3 linked regions of the Schizosaccharomyces pombe genome follow. The main gene of each other region encodes a partner of the protein of the gene in region 2 in a complex. Each region holds a gene or a part of one and is shown on either strand. Other genes may lie near its edges.

Evidence for each region. Proteins that work in one complex are often made in the same cells at the same time.
Region 1: rpa34 (region 2) and rpa2 share a complex: the UniProt entries of both Schizosaccharomyces pombe proteins name them as parts of the RNA polymerase I (Pol I) complex.
Region 3: rpa34 (region 2) and rpa43 share a complex: the UniProt entries of both Schizosaccharomyces pombe proteins name them as parts of the RNA polymerase I (Pol I) complex.

What each region holds. Positions count from the first base shown.
Region 1 is NC_003423.3:2,005,794-2,012,625, reverse strand, and holds rpa2 (DNA-directed RNA polymerase I complex subunit Rpa2), read right to left. Parts: upstream 4,541-6,832; 5' UTR 4,508-4,540; coding exon 983-4,507; 3' UTR 671-982; downstream 1-670. Other genes in the region: mtm1 (Mn(2+) ion transporter), read right to left, coding at 5,651-6,658. UniProt on the Schizosaccharomyces pombe protein: DNA-dependent RNA polymerase catalyzes the transcription of DNA into RNA using the four ribonucleoside triphosphates as substrates. Second largest core component of RNA polymerase I which synthesizes ribosomal RNA precursors.
Region 2 is NC_003423.3:1,759,698-1,766,741, forward strand, and holds rpa34 (DNA-directed RNA polymerase I complex subunit Rpa34), read left to right. Parts: upstream 1-3,996; 5' UTR 3,997-4,054; coding exon 4,055-4,810; coding exon of another isoform or gene 4,811-4,856; 3' UTR 4,857-4,923; downstream 4,924-7,044. Other genes in the region: actin cortical patch component End3, read right to left, coding at 1-163, 388-464, 535-682; mRNA turnover and ribosome assembly protein Mrt4, read left to right, coding at 1,035-1,151, 1,487-2,095; TRAPP complex subunit Trs20, read left to right, coding at 2,739-2,825, 2,873-2,955, 3,016-3,077, 3,147-3,325; Sm snRNP core protein Sme1, read right to left, coding at 4,807-4,856, 5,086-5,161, 5,271-5,360, 5,398-5,436; karyopherin Mtr10, read left to right, coding at 6,454-6,552, 6,604-7,044. UniProt on the Schizosaccharomyces pombe protein: DNA-dependent RNA polymerase catalyzes the transcription of DNA into RNA using the four ribonucleoside triphosphates as substrates. Component of RNA polymerase I which synthesizes ribosomal RNA precursors.
Region 3 is NC_003423.3:3,999,797-4,003,379, forward strand, and holds rpa43 (DNA-directed RNA polymerase I complex subunit Rpa43), read right to left. Parts: upstream 1,448-3,583; 5' UTR 1,435-1,447; coding exon 1,167-1,434; exon of another isoform or gene 1,061-1,166; coding exon 862-1,060; exon of another isoform or gene 796-861; coding exon 741-795; 3' UTR 671-740; downstream 1-670. Other genes in the region: mnh1 (protein mago nashi), read right to left, coding at 2,082-2,228, 2,298-2,385, 2,428-2,491, 2,543-2,596, 2,669-2,695, 2,748-2,785, 2,832-2,857; ESCRT II complex subunit Vps36, read left to right, coding at 3,516-3,583. UniProt on the Schizosaccharomyces pombe protein: DNA-dependent RNA polymerase catalyzes the transcription of DNA into RNA using the four ribonucleoside triphosphates as substrates. Component of RNA polymerase I which synthesizes ribosomal RNA precursors.

The DNA.
Region 1 (6,832 bases), 240 kb from region 2:
ATTTAACGATACATAGAATTACGGTGAGTTTCTCTTACGACTTACAATATAGCGGTATGCAGTATGTTAACTAACAATGTATATTTATTGTTATATGAAGTCTATTAATATCGGTTGCCGAAATAGCGTTACAGCCGAACCTCGTTCCTCAGTTCAGTTATGAGCTATATTAGTGATAGGTAACATTATAACCCAGTTAATACAATACCTATACTCAGTTGCTACTCATACAACCTGTGTATTGTAATATAATAGATCACAAGGAAAACTCACCGCAGTTCTACGTATCCTTAAATCAGATACCAAACTGCGTAGCTTACACACTATACTAAATATCGGTTATCTAATATAGTATAATGAAGCACAAAATACAATTTAGCGTGGGTTTCTGTAATTCGTCATTATGCTGCTCTTAAATGTGAACCATGCGAATAGGTATTTTTTATAATTGAGTGCATAGATTTTCTGTAGTTGAGCTGTTCTTAAAATTATAAGATATCAATTCTCTTTTCTCCATACGAATGTGTGCTCACGAATTTGCATCAGATCTCAACCTCTGATTAATCTGCTTCTTTGAACATTCGATCACTCTTTGGTATCAAGTATCTATTAACCAATATATAATACAATTTAAAGCAAAAAGACATCTAATAATAAACTTTTTCTTGTCAATTATGTCTTAGCCGCTTCTTAATCAAAAAGATAAAAATCAATCAATTTATTATTAGTCCACCTAGACCTACCTTTATAGTTTTCTATATAAGTTTTTTTATTAACTCTTCCCCCAAAACAATAAGTAATTTTATATGCAAAACGTAATCCGAAGCAAAAATCAGAAACCTGTTGCGAAAGAAAACAGAATCAAATGGAACTGAAAATACACACATCACCCATGGCATTTTGTCAGTCCTTTTAAAAAAATTTTTTTTAAAGAAGTTGAAAGCGAATATATTAATTTCAATACTCTTTTCAACACTTTAATCTATTTAACTTCAAGCATCATTTTAATATTCATAGCAGTAAGTTCCGCCGTCAAGTAATTGAAAACACTGGGTAATGCGATCAACGTAGTATTTGTGCCGCCGACAAATTTCTTTCCGCTACCATCCTGCCAAATGTCACTGGTATCTTCCAATCCCAAAGCGGGTTTGGCACAGCTTCTGCACCTGACTTCTGAGGCACTTCCTACGCCATTCATCGAAATTGTAGACATGATAGAAATAATAGACCCACAATCTCGACAAACCCAGCTCTGGGCATAATCAGAACAATTCATTAAACGATCCTGCATCAAGAACGATGTGCCATGACCGATAACAGCATCACGTTCCATTTCACCGAAACGAATACCACCAGCACGTTTGCGACCTTTGACGGGTTGACGAGTAAGATTATGAATGGGTCCGGTTGTACGTACTTGAAATTTATCACTAACCATATGGCGAAGACGTTGATAGTAGACAACTCCAATATAAATATCAGCCTTCATCTCCTGTCCTGTGATACCACTATACATAGGCTCGTTTCCATGATAGTTGTAACCAGCCTTAACCAATTGTTCGCCAAAGTAGTCAGCAGCAGTTTGCTGCTCAGAATAGATAAAGGGTGTGCTGTCTTGAGCCAAGCCATGGCAGGCGCCAGCTTTACCAGCTAAACTTTCAATAAACATACCAATTGTCATACGAGAGGGGAACGCATGAGGATTAATAATGATATCAGGTTGCATTCCGCTTTCTGTAAACGGCATATCGACAGTGGGCCACTTTTGTGAACAAATACCCTTTTGTCCATGTCTAGAGGAAAATTTGTCACCAATAATCGGACTACGGGTAATACGAAGCTTAACATGAATTTGCTGACACTCGGAATCACCAACATCATTACCAAGGAGTCTAACTTCGTCAACAAAACCAGGCTCAGTACCGTGATAGGTTTCAATAAAATTTTGACCAGTAGATTCATCATAGTAAGCGACAATGGGATCTCCATCCTCAAGTTTAATTCCAATAAAAGGTAACCCGTCGGCGTCTAACTTTTGCAACCATTCGCGACGAGGCGTTGAACCGGGAGCAAAACCAAAATGGTGAACGACTGGTTCACCTCTGCGACGCTTTTGGGAAAGGTCAAAAGATTCACCCTTATATACAGTACCATAACCAAAACCACGCTCATGAGCAGATTTATTCAAAATCATAGCATCTTCCATATCGTAACCAGTGTATGAGATAACGGCAACAACAGCGTTTGTACCATTTGGATAATGATCGAGGCCATAGGTATTGTGAAGCTTAGGACGAACAACTGGTGTTTGTCCTGTTTGAAGACGATAAAGTTTGTTGTCAGTACGATAACGAAGGGCCGTACCAGGCGTACCCATAGTTTGTTTACCCATCTGACATTGATACATGTTACGAGGAGACTGGTTAAAGTCTGAGAATGGAGTCATATTGGCAACGATGGAGAGTACATTTGTGGGCGAATACTCTACATGAGTAGAAACTTTAGGAACGATTTCTTTAGGGAAACATGCAATATCCATGTAAACTTGCTCAAATGGACCAAGCATATCAAGTTCACCAGTAGAAATGTGCTTAACCGGTCGAACCATCCTTGCAGGATTGCTAAACAGATAAAGACCTGGATATTGCCCGTTATGAGACGGAGGCACATATCCAATTTCCAAATCTAAAGGGACCTTAGCAGGTTCAGTGGCAGTTCCATTACGCAACTTGACAGCATATTCAATTTTCATTAAACGTAGCACATCAGCAACGTGCTTAGCAAGTTTGTAAGTACACCAACCAACAATCTTTCCATCCAATTGTACGCATCCCCAACCAGATTCATGACCAACTACACTTGGAGGATCAACACCCAACGATAGCAAAAGTGATGGGATTTGACTTACATCAGAAGGATGGGTGACAATTTCACATTTTCTAGCCAAATGGTTTAAAAGACCACATGGAGAACCATCGGGTGTGTGAACTGGACACATGAAACCCCAAGCTTCAGGAAGCAATTTACGGACAGTAGTAGTTTTAAGCTCAGCAAAAAATGCACCACGGTGTACCATTCGAAAATGTGAAAGAAAGCGGTAGAAGTTCAACTTCTCGGCGACAACAGTGTAACCTGTAGCTTGTTGTAAATCAAGACCAGTATTGGAAACAAGGTTACCGGTACTCAAGAAATATTGTAATTTCGTTCCGATGTCATTGTTAATTTTAGAAAAGACACGGGTCAAGTATTTACGATCGGAGAAATCAACACCAGGCGCTGAGCGTCGAACATCCAAATTAATTTGAGCGCGGATGCTATTTAGCCAATCCTCAATCTTCTCCTTAAGAATTTGACCATAAAGAAAACCACCTAATAAAATTTCCTGATGTTGTGGAGAGTCAGGGTTATCGGCACAGCACTCTCCAGCTACAAGTGCATATAACTTGCGGATCATAAATAGGAGAAGGCGGAATTTATCCTTAGCTTCACGAAGGTGAACTAAAACAACCTTTTGTAAGAGAAAGCGGCCAACTTCAACATCAGTTAGGTCTTCAGCAACGCCGAGAACAACACGAAATTTGCTACCCAAATACTGAAGTGTTTCAGTTTGGGAGTAAAGACCATAGGACTTATAAGCTCTAAGCATAAGCTCAACACGATCCGTCAAGAAAGTATTTCCCAAATCTTTACCAACAATGCCCTCAAAAATTTCTTTATCGCTGGTTTCTAACAGGGCCTTAAGAATCATCATCGAAGGAATTAAATATTCGTTTTTACGCCAGTGAAAACGAAACATCGTAACACCATTGTTAAGATAATGAAGGGTGTTGGTTAAACTAGACTGGTCTGGACGGACACAACGAATAGATAAACCATACTGTGAGTAGCTAGTACCACGATTGGCAAAAGAAGGGCGAATGATGGCAGTAGGATGATTGCGCTTAGGTAAAATTAACATACGAATCAACTTCTCAATACCGTTAACGATAAAGTAACCGCCCATCTCTTCGCTCTCCTCTTTATGAGCAATAAGTTCGGCAGGAGACAATCCTTCCAGATGACATCTGTTGGACCGTACCATGATGGGAATCATGCCTACTTCACGCATTTCTGATTGTCTAGGGCCTCCATTGACACTCCATGAGAATTTAAGAACCAATCTTGATTTATAAGTAGTCAAACGCTCTCTGGCTTCAGCAGGGTAGACTTTGCGGTTAATAGAAGACCTTTCACGACTAGACAACATTGGCTTCGCAATTTGAACCTCATCAACGCGGAAGGAAATCTTATTTCCAAATTTCAATGCACCACCTTCTTCTTGTGTGATCGAGTCAAATGCACATTTCTCACCAATTTCCTTAACAGCATAGTTGAGTAGTCCGGCATTAGTAAGGGCGTTAAAGGAATCAACATGAGGTTTTACGGCCTTTTGCAAATCTGGAAAGCTCGTTCCGTCCTTGGGCGGATTTTTAAACGTCCTTTCTCGCTCTAACGTTTGGAATGACATCCCAGGTTTGCAGAGAAAATTTTGGCGGAGGACACCTGCTATATTCATACTAAATTGAGCGTTAAGCGAACACTTAACAAGCTTTAATGAAAAGCGGTAAAATGGTTTAAACATTAAGGCGCTGAAGTGCGGAATATGCAATAGTATAGCGTTGTTCATTCCACTGCCTAATTCAATTCTAATAGTAAATCGCTTTTTGGGTAGTGTTCTTGCTTGATTTTATTAATGAACGACTATCCATTGTCTTTGAAGAGTAATAGAAAAGGTAAAGTGTTATCGAAAGTGTACTCACTGTACGCTGACAGATAAGTTGGTGATCGACGCTACTAATATTTGATTTATACCGCAATTGAAGCTATAAAGAATTTGTTTATTGATATTTTAGAATGTCTCCTGCAAGTCCTTACTTGTTGCTTATCTCAGTAAATTCAAGAAGAAAAGCTTAAACACAAGTAACCATTGCCCTGTTACAGTTCATATCACCGATCAGTTGAATGAAACCTAATAAATATTTAATTTGCTTTGTCTTAGTATCTTAAAAAAAATCTTGTTAAAGGGCTTTTTTTTATCACTTTCAATATTTATTTTAGAAATAATTTCGTTATATACGATTCTAGTCTAGTCAATTCATATAAAATAAACGGATAACAAAAGCTCCCACTTTAAAAATCGCTTTCTTCAAAGATCTAAACTTTTTGGCCCGAGCTGTTTCTGCTTTTCAATAACGGAAAAGAAAAACATTGAATAAAATATATGTATCCTCAACCATTGAAAAAGCTTTTAAAAAGAACAACAATGGGTATATAATGAAAGCATTAGCTTCAATGTCTGGTAAAAACATAGCAAGCTTGTTCTACTATGGCTTTATTTTAGAGACTAATATCAGAAATTAAAAAATATTAATTTTTAGTTTCTACGCTTCGTAAATTAACCCAACCTATTTTACTTTCAAGACTCTTTCGATTTGCATTTTTGAATCCTGTATTATAGTAAACATATAGACTACAAATAGAAATGGAGTTGCGAGAGGGGAATTATCAACATAAATGGAATCCTGTAAGAAAAGAGATGAAAACATTAAACCGAAAAAAAAAGAACAAAGGTTTCATCAAGCCAACCAAAACCTGAAAATCAACGTCTAAATTAATAAGCATCAACAGACTCAGAAAAGTACTTTTTAGTTAAATGATAACTTGAAATCATGATTGCACAGGACGGTGCAACTTTAACACATCTAGGCAACGTGCCTTTCCACAAGGCCTTGGGACCACCTCGCTTCCATAAGGTTAACATAAACTGACCTCTGGTTAACGTATGTCCATGCACCTGCTTAGCAGTTTTTGATACATCGAAAGGTTGAGTTAATAGGGTTGCTAGAGTCCCACTAATTCCTCCGCTCACAAAATTGATATAGAGGTCCTTTGTAGATTGAGAGCTGGAAAATGCTTGAAGTGATGGATGCCCAAGCAGGAAGAGTCGAATTCTCTCATACGACCACCAGTAAAATGCACTGAATGGTACATCTCTCCACAACGTTACGCTGACACCGCTCCATAAATTCAGTATACCTTTTTGATGAATCATTAATTTCAATCCATCAAAGACCTCATTAGCAATCTCGCGCGCATGGCCGGGCGGATAATGGCCGCCTACTGCTTGCACTCGAGTCCTGAATAATTCTATAGGAGACACAATAGTAGCAGATATTGTGCGCGCAGATGCTCCTGCGATTGCAGCAGCAGCAGGAAAGCCCCAATCACTGTATAAGGGAAGTAATTGCTCATACCCAAGAAACTGTACAGTGTTTGCTGGCAAGAGCATTGTCAATGAAGGAACTAATCCACGCCACAAGCTTCTAACACCTTCATGCCGAGCGATCTGATAAAGTCCGGATACCGGGCCTCCTAAAGGCTTTGGAGCTGGCCTTCCCTTCCCCAATATCTTTGCTGAAGAAATGGGTTGCGTAGAAGAATATTGAGAAATAGATTCACTCTGCAAGCGGGTTTTCACAACATCTAAAGGCGTTACAGTCAGCGTTGTAATTACACTTCCTACACAAGCTGACAGCATTTTCGCTATAGGCTTCACATCGGGCTCAGCATTCACCGACAAGTCAGCTTCTACGCCTTCTGTCGCAGCTCCTATCTGCATGTATTCTCTCTGACTCTGTTTGTGTTCCTGTCATCTTCATTACGAAGCACCGTCCTTTCATCTACGAAGTCGTAGTTAAACTTCATTAAACCAAATAACGTTATGCAATGCACTATCATATATCTGGTCTGAGAGTTCTGTCTTAATAAGGTAGAAACGGCTATGGTACTTAGA
Region 2 (7,044 bases):
CATCTTTTAAAACGGCATCTTCCGGGTCGGTATCAAGCGAAGGTACTTTGTGTAAGAGAGCAATATCATCATTTCCACGAAGAGCATCTCGAGCTGCTACTAAATGCTTTTTGGAAGTAGACACCAACGCCTCGGGTACTCTATCTGGAACGGTTTTGTAAACCTAATGGTTAGAAATGATGAAAATAGACAAAAAAAGAAACCCTAAAAACCAAAGGTAGCCTTTCACAATAAAAACAATCAAACAAGTGGAAGGGATAAAAGAAAAAATGAAGGCTTTACGCAAGCGCCGTCTTCTTAAATCATTCATATCTTATTCCATCTTTTTACATTTATTTAATCCATGCTTCACAGGTTCATTCATGAGTAAAGTAAGTGGTTTCATACCCCATTAATCAAATCAAAGGTGATTTTCATAGCAATTGCAAATTCATCAAAATCAAACATTCCATCATCATCAATATCTATCCATATTCGTAACATTAGCACACGTTCGATTAAACGACTCAGACCGCAAACTCATGTTTTCCGTACCTGCTAAATCCCAAATTTTTTCCAATTTATCGCTTGAAAGCTTACTACTACGGAGGACTCCAGCAGCTTTGGATCCTGATAAATAGCCATTTTCTGGATTCAAGCCGCGAAAAATTTCCCAATACTTATTTTTCTCTTGGGGATCCATTATGTCGAGTTCTAGTAAATTTTAATACCCTAAAATATCTAATTCTCCTGAATCGTGTACGGCCAGTGGAAAAGTAAAAGAACTCAGTATATTGACCTTTCTTTTACCTTTTTCCAATGTTTGCTCATACTACGTGTCTTGTTTACGGTAAGCTCACAGACTACCGGATGTGATTCGGAAGTTGCGCGGCATTTCCCCGTTAAAATTACGAAACGCAATTAAGCACAACAATAATACTCTATCCTTAAATATCAAAGCCTAGCGCGCTGCATTTTTCAATGAATACCTGTAAAGAGTATGGTAAAATCGTTACCTCTGCCAACAACAATTTTTGCAGAGAAAAGAGGAAGAAATGCCAAAATCAAGGAGGTCGAAAGTTTTGACTCTCGCTCAAACTGAGAAAAAGGGTCATGAAGGAAAGGCTGCTCTTTTCTCTGGAGTACAGCAATCGCTGGATTCGTTTGACTATGTAAGTGAAAATGGGCTCGGTTGAGGAGTTGTAACAGAAATATCGTGCTGAAGGATTACAAAATGAGAAAAACGAGCATCATGGATTTAGATGCTTATTTTTAGTGATTGAATTGTCTATTTTTGTACGAAGGTGTTTCCAAATGCTTTGAAGTTGAAATTCAACAGTACAGCTTTTTAGATTATGAGTTCTCGTTGAGGTTTTAAAGTTATACTTTTTTTTCCAATTATCTACTTATTTATTAGCACTGCTAACAAATACCCATCTGTTTACACCTTCTACTCGATCGTATAAAATTTTAAATGGCTGTTTTACTAACTGTTTATTTTCAATAGATGTGGATTTTTGATGTCACTAATATGAGAAACACATATTTAAAACGTATCCGTGATGATTGGAAGGGTAGTCGTATTTTTATGGGAAAAACTAAGGTCATGGCAAAGGCGTTAGGACACACGCCTGAGGAAGAACATGCCGAGAACGTTAGCAAGCTTACAAAATTGCTTCATGGTGCCGTCGGCTTATTATTCACAAACTCTAAGCCCGATGAAGTTATTGGATACTTTGAATCCTTCGTCCAAAACGACTTTGCTCGCGCTGGCGCTGTTGCTCCTTTTACTCATGTTATTCCTGCTGGTCCTGTTTATTCTCGTGCTGGTCAAATTCCCGTCGAAGATGATATTTTGTTGACCCATACATTAGAGCCACAAGTTCGTCAACTTGGTATGCCTACTGTTTTGAAGAATGGTGTTGTGACGTTGTTAGCTGATTTCCCTCTTTGTACTGAAGGTCAACAACTGGACAGTCGTCAAACACGTTTGCTGAAGTTATTTGGAATCACGGCTGCTGAGTTTAAGGTTGGGCTTTTGGGCTATTATTCAAAGAAAGGTGCTTCTGTTGAGTTTCTTCAATCCGCACCTGGTGCAGACGAAGCCATGGAGTAAAATGTATATTACAGTTAAATGGACACATCGCGTGCACTATTGCATTATCAAAGTTTTTTGCTTTTTATTTTCGGATAAAATAAAATGAAAAGAAGGGTTACTAGATTAGTGAAAGCCCTGTGTTACCGTGCTTGCATAGTTGACGGACTTTGGATTTAAAACAATGGTTTTTTGTTCATGCTCTGATAAATTTACATAGAGATATGTACTCTTTCTTTTCTTTTACTTACTTTTGGGGGATTATTGGTTATTTCTTTTCCATAGCGGATGAAAATATATGAATAATATTTTTATACACTTTAAAATGAGTCATGTAGCACGTTGACATGGTAAAGTTAGTTTGCTAGTTTCACTTTCGCTGTGAAGGCCCTAAAAGTTGATTTCCAAACTCCAATTGTTGCTTTCGTAACGTACGAAAGAATGGAAACAACGAAACTGATTGTTCTTTTGACCGTCGATATGCCGCATTTTGTACTTTAAGGTAAAATCGATATAATTAGTTTTAAATGTTTTAAATTTTATGGAATCATTTTAGTAGCTATCCAAATTATTTCTAAAACTTTTTAAAATGTATAATTCACGTTACACAATTACATTTTAAAATTGTGTCGCGCTTCACACTTCCTTTCCACCAACATTCACAATGACAGCATATGCAGCAATTATAGGAACGAAAGATAATCCCGTTTATGAATTAGAGATGGGGCCTATAAATGAAAAACTAGACAGGGTATGTCACATAATACTATTGATTTAGAACGCTAATATCTGAATTAGTCTTTAAATTCTCATCTTAATCAATTTATCGTTCATTCGAGTTTAGACATTGTGGATCAGCTACAATGGACTAGCAATGCCTTGTACGTTTTGTGATTTCTTTTGTTTCTTGCAGTCATTGCTAATACTCTGTTTTTGTATAGTTATATGAAAACCATCGATCAATTTCACGAAATGTATATATCTGCTTACGTTACGCCATCTAGTAAGTGTTTTGTTCCCTTTAAATATCTGGGGTGACTTTTGGACAACTACTAATGTTCATTATTTTTAGATATGAGGTTTATGCTTCTTCACCAAAACCAAAGTGCTGACAACATTAAACTGTTTTTCCAAGAGCTCCACGAATTATACATCAAAACTCTAATGAGTCCTTTCTATCAACCTAACCAACCTATTCGTTCTCAGGCTTTTGATTTAAAGGTCCGTTCAATTGCTAGAAGGTATCTGTGATGAAAAGGTGTTGGTTGATTTCTTCCTCACGTTCTTTCTCTCCAAAAAGCATTTATCTTTCTCTTGCCTTTTTATTTGTAAGAGTGAGGCATCTACAATGCCTATGCTGGCCGAGGTTGATAATTGTTCAATTTCCACATACATGAGGCATTGAAGAGGAAATGTTTGCAGATATGTATTTTTTTTTCAGTTTTAAATTTTGACTCATTGTGTTTACACTCTGTATACAACATATATATACGTCGTTCTTTAGTTATGTGTACCTCACTTCTTCCTACAATTGATATCCATTTTACATAAACACAAAATAATACTACATCCTTTAAGCAACTGGTCGCGTCAAGCTGCGACCGTTCTTAGTAGTCCGATCCTTACAGAAGCAATTGTCAGACAACTTAAAAAAAAAAAAAAAAAATCCCTATCTACTAGATAAAGAAAGATGTTGGGAATATTAATTTCTAGAAAAACAACATTTTTTAAGCCGAAAAAATAAAGTAGTGAACCGATTGCTCCATTTTAACTTTTTTCTTTACCTAAGAAGTAGAGTTCTTGCTATAACCACATACTTTTTATTTTTTGTTTCATCACATAAAAGTTCCTTTAATATGAATACTACCTTGTGCATCGTTATCCAGCTCGATGATACCTACGTTGTGACCCACAAGCTCACCAGAGCAAAATACAGGTACGCTTGCAAAATTTCACTTTAAATTCTACTGGGGCGTAGATATGGCAAAATCAAGTGAATTTGTAAACGAGGAAAGTTCAGAAGATGAATCTAGCGTTTCTAGCATAGAGGATCAGCATTCGTCGAAAGAACCTGAACAATCCGTGGAGAGCAACAATCACGGCGAATCGAACGCACAAGAAGATGTTGCAGAAATTGCTGGTTTAGAGAAAGTGCAAGGAAAGCCTGTTTTGACCACTAATGACTTGAAAAAGGAGTCCAATGTTTTTTTAGTACGACTTCCGCCTGGCATGTCCGCTGACCAAATAAGTCAGCTAAAGGTAGGCTCCAAACCTACAGTAGAATTAAAGCAGGAGAACGAAAACACCTATCAAATCCGAGAAGAATCAACAAGCTCCGTACGTGTGTTTTTACCTGACGAGCAAGGTTCCTATACGTCAAATGAAATCAAAACTGGATATGTGATTACAGAGACCCCCAAAATTTCACAAAACATTGATACTGGTATTACAATACCTACGCAGGCACCACTTGTTCCTCAAAGAAAGAATCTGAGACAGCATTTTCGCCCGATTGGAGATGCTGTAGGGCCTGAATCGGAACCTGAAGCTGAACCCAAGTCTGGCATCAAAGAACATATTTTACAAGAGACTGGTGATGCTACAGTAGAGGAATTACAAAATAAAGGGAAGGAAAAGCAAAAGGAATTGAAAAAGGGAAAAAGGGAAAAGAAGGATGAGGAAGAAAAACCTAAGAAGAAAAAGCAAAAGAAATCCAGCAAAAAGGAAAAAAATTAGATTGCTTGAATTAGTGTAATATTATCACCTTTTAATAGAATTCTACCTAAGCAATGTTAGCAATTGGTTTGGGAAATTGTTAAATATTTTAGAACAAAAATCTGCATCAACGGTTTGTTTTAGAATTTGTAAGGTTGCTGGAAACGCAATTTGGTAAATCAGCTTAAGACATGCATCTATTATTATTTTTGCTTCATGTAAAGACTTTTGAATAAAATCCCACCGAACATTCTTTCACATAAACCAAGGTTTTATTCGTCTAAAATCAGGCTTACCTAACTCCCTTTTATTATTTTTAGCATCTACTTGCACAGCATCGTCAAGCACAATGTTCATAAATTCGTCGAAGCCCTGTCATATATCGTTAGCAATTCATCAACTTGTCGTAGGGAAAATGAAGGTATTTCAAAATCCTAGGCCAACGACTATGAAGGGATTTTCCATAAAGTAAATTTCTTACCCTAATTTGTCCCTGAAGTCTTATATCTGTTTGTTCAAACAGCCAAATTGAAACAGGAGTATGTTGTTGCAACAATTTGAAAATGAAATTCTGCGTAAGTTAGCTATCCAACAACAATTAACCATACAATAGGAGGTATCATAACTTTTTGCACGCGTCCTGACATCTTGAAAACTTATTTTATCAAAAAACGAAATTCTATAGATGGTTGTGCAATGGTGCAGTTGGCGGCCTGTCAGCACTGACTTAGTGGATATTTAGCCAAGACCAAAAACCTCTTCAATAAATTTGTACCACATGGATCAATGTTTATCGATCCTTTATTTTTTTTTTATTTTTTTTAGATATGTAATTTGATCTTCAATAAGCTGTTTTAATTTTTTATCGACTTTCATACATACAAAAGTGTAGGTTGCTAAACTTCAATCAAAGCAGCCAAGATTGTATTGTTATTTTTATTAGACAATTTATGGACAATTCACTTGTTTAAATGATTGAGAAAAGCAAGAAATGTACTTTAGCGTGAGTAGCTACTCAGTAAAAAATGACATTAAAAAAAAACAATAAACAAGTTATCAAAGTTCAGCAAAAATTACATTAATTTAGACGATTAATATCCATAGATTCAAAAAGATTTGACAATAGAAATGAAGAAGACTGTAATGAAAATAGCCAAAATCTGATAAATATTTGGAAATCAGAATCCTTGAACAGCTCTAAATTAGGTTCTACCAGCTGCATCAAACGGATGTTTCATACATTAGATATTATATAATCCATATGTTTGCCAGTATTATTAGGAAACAGACTACTATGCGCTTTACATTGTATTTCGGATATATAAAATATAGCACGCGAAACTACTTTATGTGGCTAGAATTATATTATTATGGTAGCTATGTAAATAGCAATTGGAATACCTAAGCAAATTTTATTTTCTAACATTTGAAGTTTTTACTCTACCAAATGTATTAAAATTAAAAATCAACGTTATACTGAGACATAATGCCTTGAATGCTATTTATTATAATGATCATGGAAAACCTCCCGAATACTGTAATAAAGAGGTATAAGTTACTTGTTCCTTAAATAGGTCTTTTACTGCTACTACAGGTCTGAACCGAAACAAAAACACACGCTGCCAGTGCGTAAAGCAATCAATCTAAGTGATTTTTATGCCCTCATGGAAACGTTGTTAAGTGCTTTGGCTACTTTGTATGCCAACACTGATCGTGAGCAGAAACTTCAAGCAAACAACTACTTAGAAGAGTTTCAGAAAAGTGTAAGTCAGTCAGAGATTTGAACTGGATGATGTTAACCTGCATATTTTTAGCCTGCTGCATGGCAAATATGTTTTTCAATTTTGAATCAAGATGACAGCAGCATTGAAGCAAAGTTATTTGCCGCACAAACTTTGCGCCAAAAAATTGTATACGATTTTCATCAGCTACCTAAGGAAACACATATTGAATTTCGTAATTCCTTGCTACAGTTATTTTTAGCAGCTAAAGATAGTCCAAGACCTTTATTGGTATCATTGGCTGTTTGTATGGCTGCAATTGCTTTACATATGACTGAATGGCATAATGTTATAGCCGATGTTTTTCAAGCCTGTAGCTCCAAAGACCCCAGTGGAAGATGTGTTTTACAGTTTTTATCAGTACTCCCTGAAGAAGCTAGTGATCCAAGGAAAACTTCATTGAGTTGGGAGGAGTTATGTATTCGTGTTGATGAACTTCTTCGTGATAACGGTCCAGCAGTACTCGAGCTTCTG
Region 3 (3,583 bases), 2.2 Mb from region 2:
ATCACATTTCAAATTGCAATTTTTAAAAGAATAACTACAATAATTACTCAGTAGCAATGATCAAAACCGGGCAGTACGGAGATCAGTGTTAATTAGCGTATCTAAATTGTCTGAAATTATTTATTGCACTCTAAAGTGATCAAATTAATTCATATTGCTTAATGATCAATTTGAGATAATTGAAAAAATTTTATTATTGATGTTATTATTAAAATACAGAAAAACAAACGTGGTAATAAAACTTAAGCTTATTTGTCTAAGCATTGATGTGTTATAAGTAGATCTCGATTTATTTAAAGAAGATATTAATCCTTCACCTGACGTATTAAATCAAATAGTGCTTTTTGAAGATTTTAACCAATTATTTTGTCAATAAATTGCAGGCTAACTGGCTGTCCATAAGTTATATTAAACTGTCGAATTTATAAATAAATAGTTCCAAACGCTTGGGTTGTGGAAAGCATTCAATGTCTATATGCAACAAATTGAAAATGAGAGTATCACTAGATGAAATCAAAAGTCTAGAAAAAAGATAACTATGAATTATCATTCATTTCATTCCTTAAGCTTAAATCAACAATTGCCTACTTTTATAAAATCATACAATTGAAAGTACATACACACCGCTTCAAAATAACTTACTGTTTAGTTTTAGCGCGATTCTATAAACCGGAATTTCTTAGGCAAATATCCATAATCATAAGTAACCAATCCTTTTGTATTTTGAATATAAATACTTATTATGAATTTGCTAGCGTCCCTTGAACCATAGTCAACCCAGCTTCTCTTTGTATACTAGATTAACTGTTAGTCATAATTTAATCAAACTTTAGTTAAAACAGTATATAGTTTACGACATACCCATCTACTACAAACTCCAAATCTTTACCAGGCTCCAGAATATTTCCATCATTTGTCTTCCAACGACCTTGTTCTTCCGTAGTATCGGGCTCAATAAAAATCCAATCTTTAGGTATAGATTTTCGCGGAATAGATGCATTAAAAATACCCAAAATTAATAGACCAATATGACTTGGACTGACTAAATTAATTTTTCCTTCTAGTGATAGTTAGCATTTATTTTGGAGTTGGTATAAAATTTTGCACGACTGAATTATCATGATACAAATCCATCATAGAATCTCGAATTTCTAAGCATTTCATACCTAAACAATCGCCTTTTTTGGGAGAAAATACTAAAACGTCTACACGGACCCATATAAAGGAGAATGGGGAGTCATACATGACCTTTGCACTTTTTTCCAGGAATCGAATATTGTCGTACGCCAACACTATTCCATTGATTCTTGGGAGTTTGCTAAGAATCATACTATCCATATGCTCCTGAATAGCATTTAAAGGATCCCTGCTGTGTCCAGGAGCAATGGAAAGGTATAAATCTACAGTCTGTTTGTAGAGTGATAAATCCGGCATGTTGGCGGAACGCAAATTTCCTTCATCGACTGCATCCAGTTTTACAGATATGTTCAAGGGTAAACAAAGCTCTTCAATTGATCAACCAAGGTCATATATAACATATCATGTCTTCGAGAAAGGTTAACAGCTAAATAGGCGATACTATGGCATCAATAGAAATGCCAATTCTGTAAATGACACCATGTCACTACAGTGCTCAAGACATTGAAATTTTTTTTTTAATTACAATAAGAAATACTTTACCTTTTTTTTCTCTTATTTAAATGAAGAATATTATTGAGACAAAATAAGTGAATCGCTCATTACTATACAAATAGTGTCTATTTAATATAGCTAAAATTATTTCAAGATTTTTTTGATATCTTATTGAAAAAAAGATTTTGTAACGCGACTACCATGGAATGGTTGCCATATTCTAAGATGTTCCCAAATAAATAGTCAATTCTTAACCGCTTATGATATGGAATTAAAAGTGCAATACGGTTAATTTAGCATAAAAACTGAAATTCCTTCCTAAAGCTCGAACGTTTTTCAGCTTTGAGACTGTACATTTAGAAACGAAACAAAGGTAATCAAACCCAAATAGTAAACCAATGTTTCACATAAAACTTTTTCGCCCTAATATATAAGAAAATGGAATGCATCTAGTTTTTAACAGGTCGGAGCTTAAAATTTAGGGAGATGAGACTAAAGCACAATGCTTTTAAATCTTGAATTAGGTAGTAGAAAACTTTTAGCCCTTCTGGATCATCACTATTTTGAACGTCTGCCAAACTTCCAAGTTTACAGGTCTAGTAGTTTATATTAGCTTAAAAGTATCTAGAATGAATATATTTATGCCAAATGAAGAGCAATCTTACTTCAAACATGATGTGTTTTCCATTCATACGAATTTCAAGTTCCTGCTTACCATCTTTATTTTCAGGTGGCCAACTTTCATCTGATTCTCTAAATAGTAGTTAGTATAAAAAATTGAAAGAAATGACTTGCTTTATGATCTCACTGTCATCTACAATACGTTGAACTTCTTTTAAAACAAGCTCACTGACGAACACTTTAAGGCTTTGTTAATACGATCGAACAGAAATGTAGTACTAAAACATACTCTCCTTTCGGATTAACGAATCGTTCCGATAGTTAGAATTGTTTGCGTATCTAGCTAATTGAATTAGTATTCATGTCAAACCACTGTTGCTAATATGAATCAGAAAATTGTTGACTCTATTCATACCTAGCCCATCACTATGATAATCGAATTCTAGCAAATGTTTGGTTAGCTGCGCGACCTTGCGTCTAATATTATCGCGTACCCAAGAACTCGTGTCCGAATCGACCATGGTGTCCCGAGCTTCAGTCAGTTAGCATTCAAAACTATTTACAGCTTTTTTGCATACTAGTATCGAACATAAAAATCACTCATTTTCGAGCAAATAGGAATATGATGGCTTCGATGACTACTGCTGAGAGGTAAACTCTTGGTCAAAGATACGAAGCATATAGTGATTCACTATTTTAAATAACACAATACACTAGTGCATCCAATTTTTGGAGCTCGACAATCAAAGTTCGTGGGTAATTCAATATACAGTGTATCTTTGATGAATTCGTTGACATTATATATTGACTGCTAAGTCTATATCTGTAAATCAAAGTCTTTTAATTCCTTAAAGGCTTTTTCCAAATTCAGGTTAAATCTTGACAAGTTATTTTTCTGGGACCTTTTAACGTTCCACGACTTATTTCACTGCATTTACAAAAGTTATTCTGGCACTGTTGCATCTTTTATCGCTAGTTTGTGATCCTTGGGTTGTTTTTTATTAAGACTACGGTTTGATTTTTTTATTGTAACATATTAAATCGAGCTTTTGACAGGCTTCATTTATGTTATTTATATATCGACATTCACAGCTGTCATCCAAAAATATTTTTTTTAAAGGTAGCTAAATAAAGCGAAAGTCGTACTCACAGATTATCTCAAATCAATTGTTGGTCTCGACTAGTTAACCAAGGCACATGACATGTTATATAAGTTTTAATTCACTTGACAATTATCATTTTGGTTAATCTCTCCTTCTAATATGGCCTTTTATTTAGAAACAACCCCTTCTAATCTACCGGTTTTGGATCCTTCAGAAGAAATTTTGCT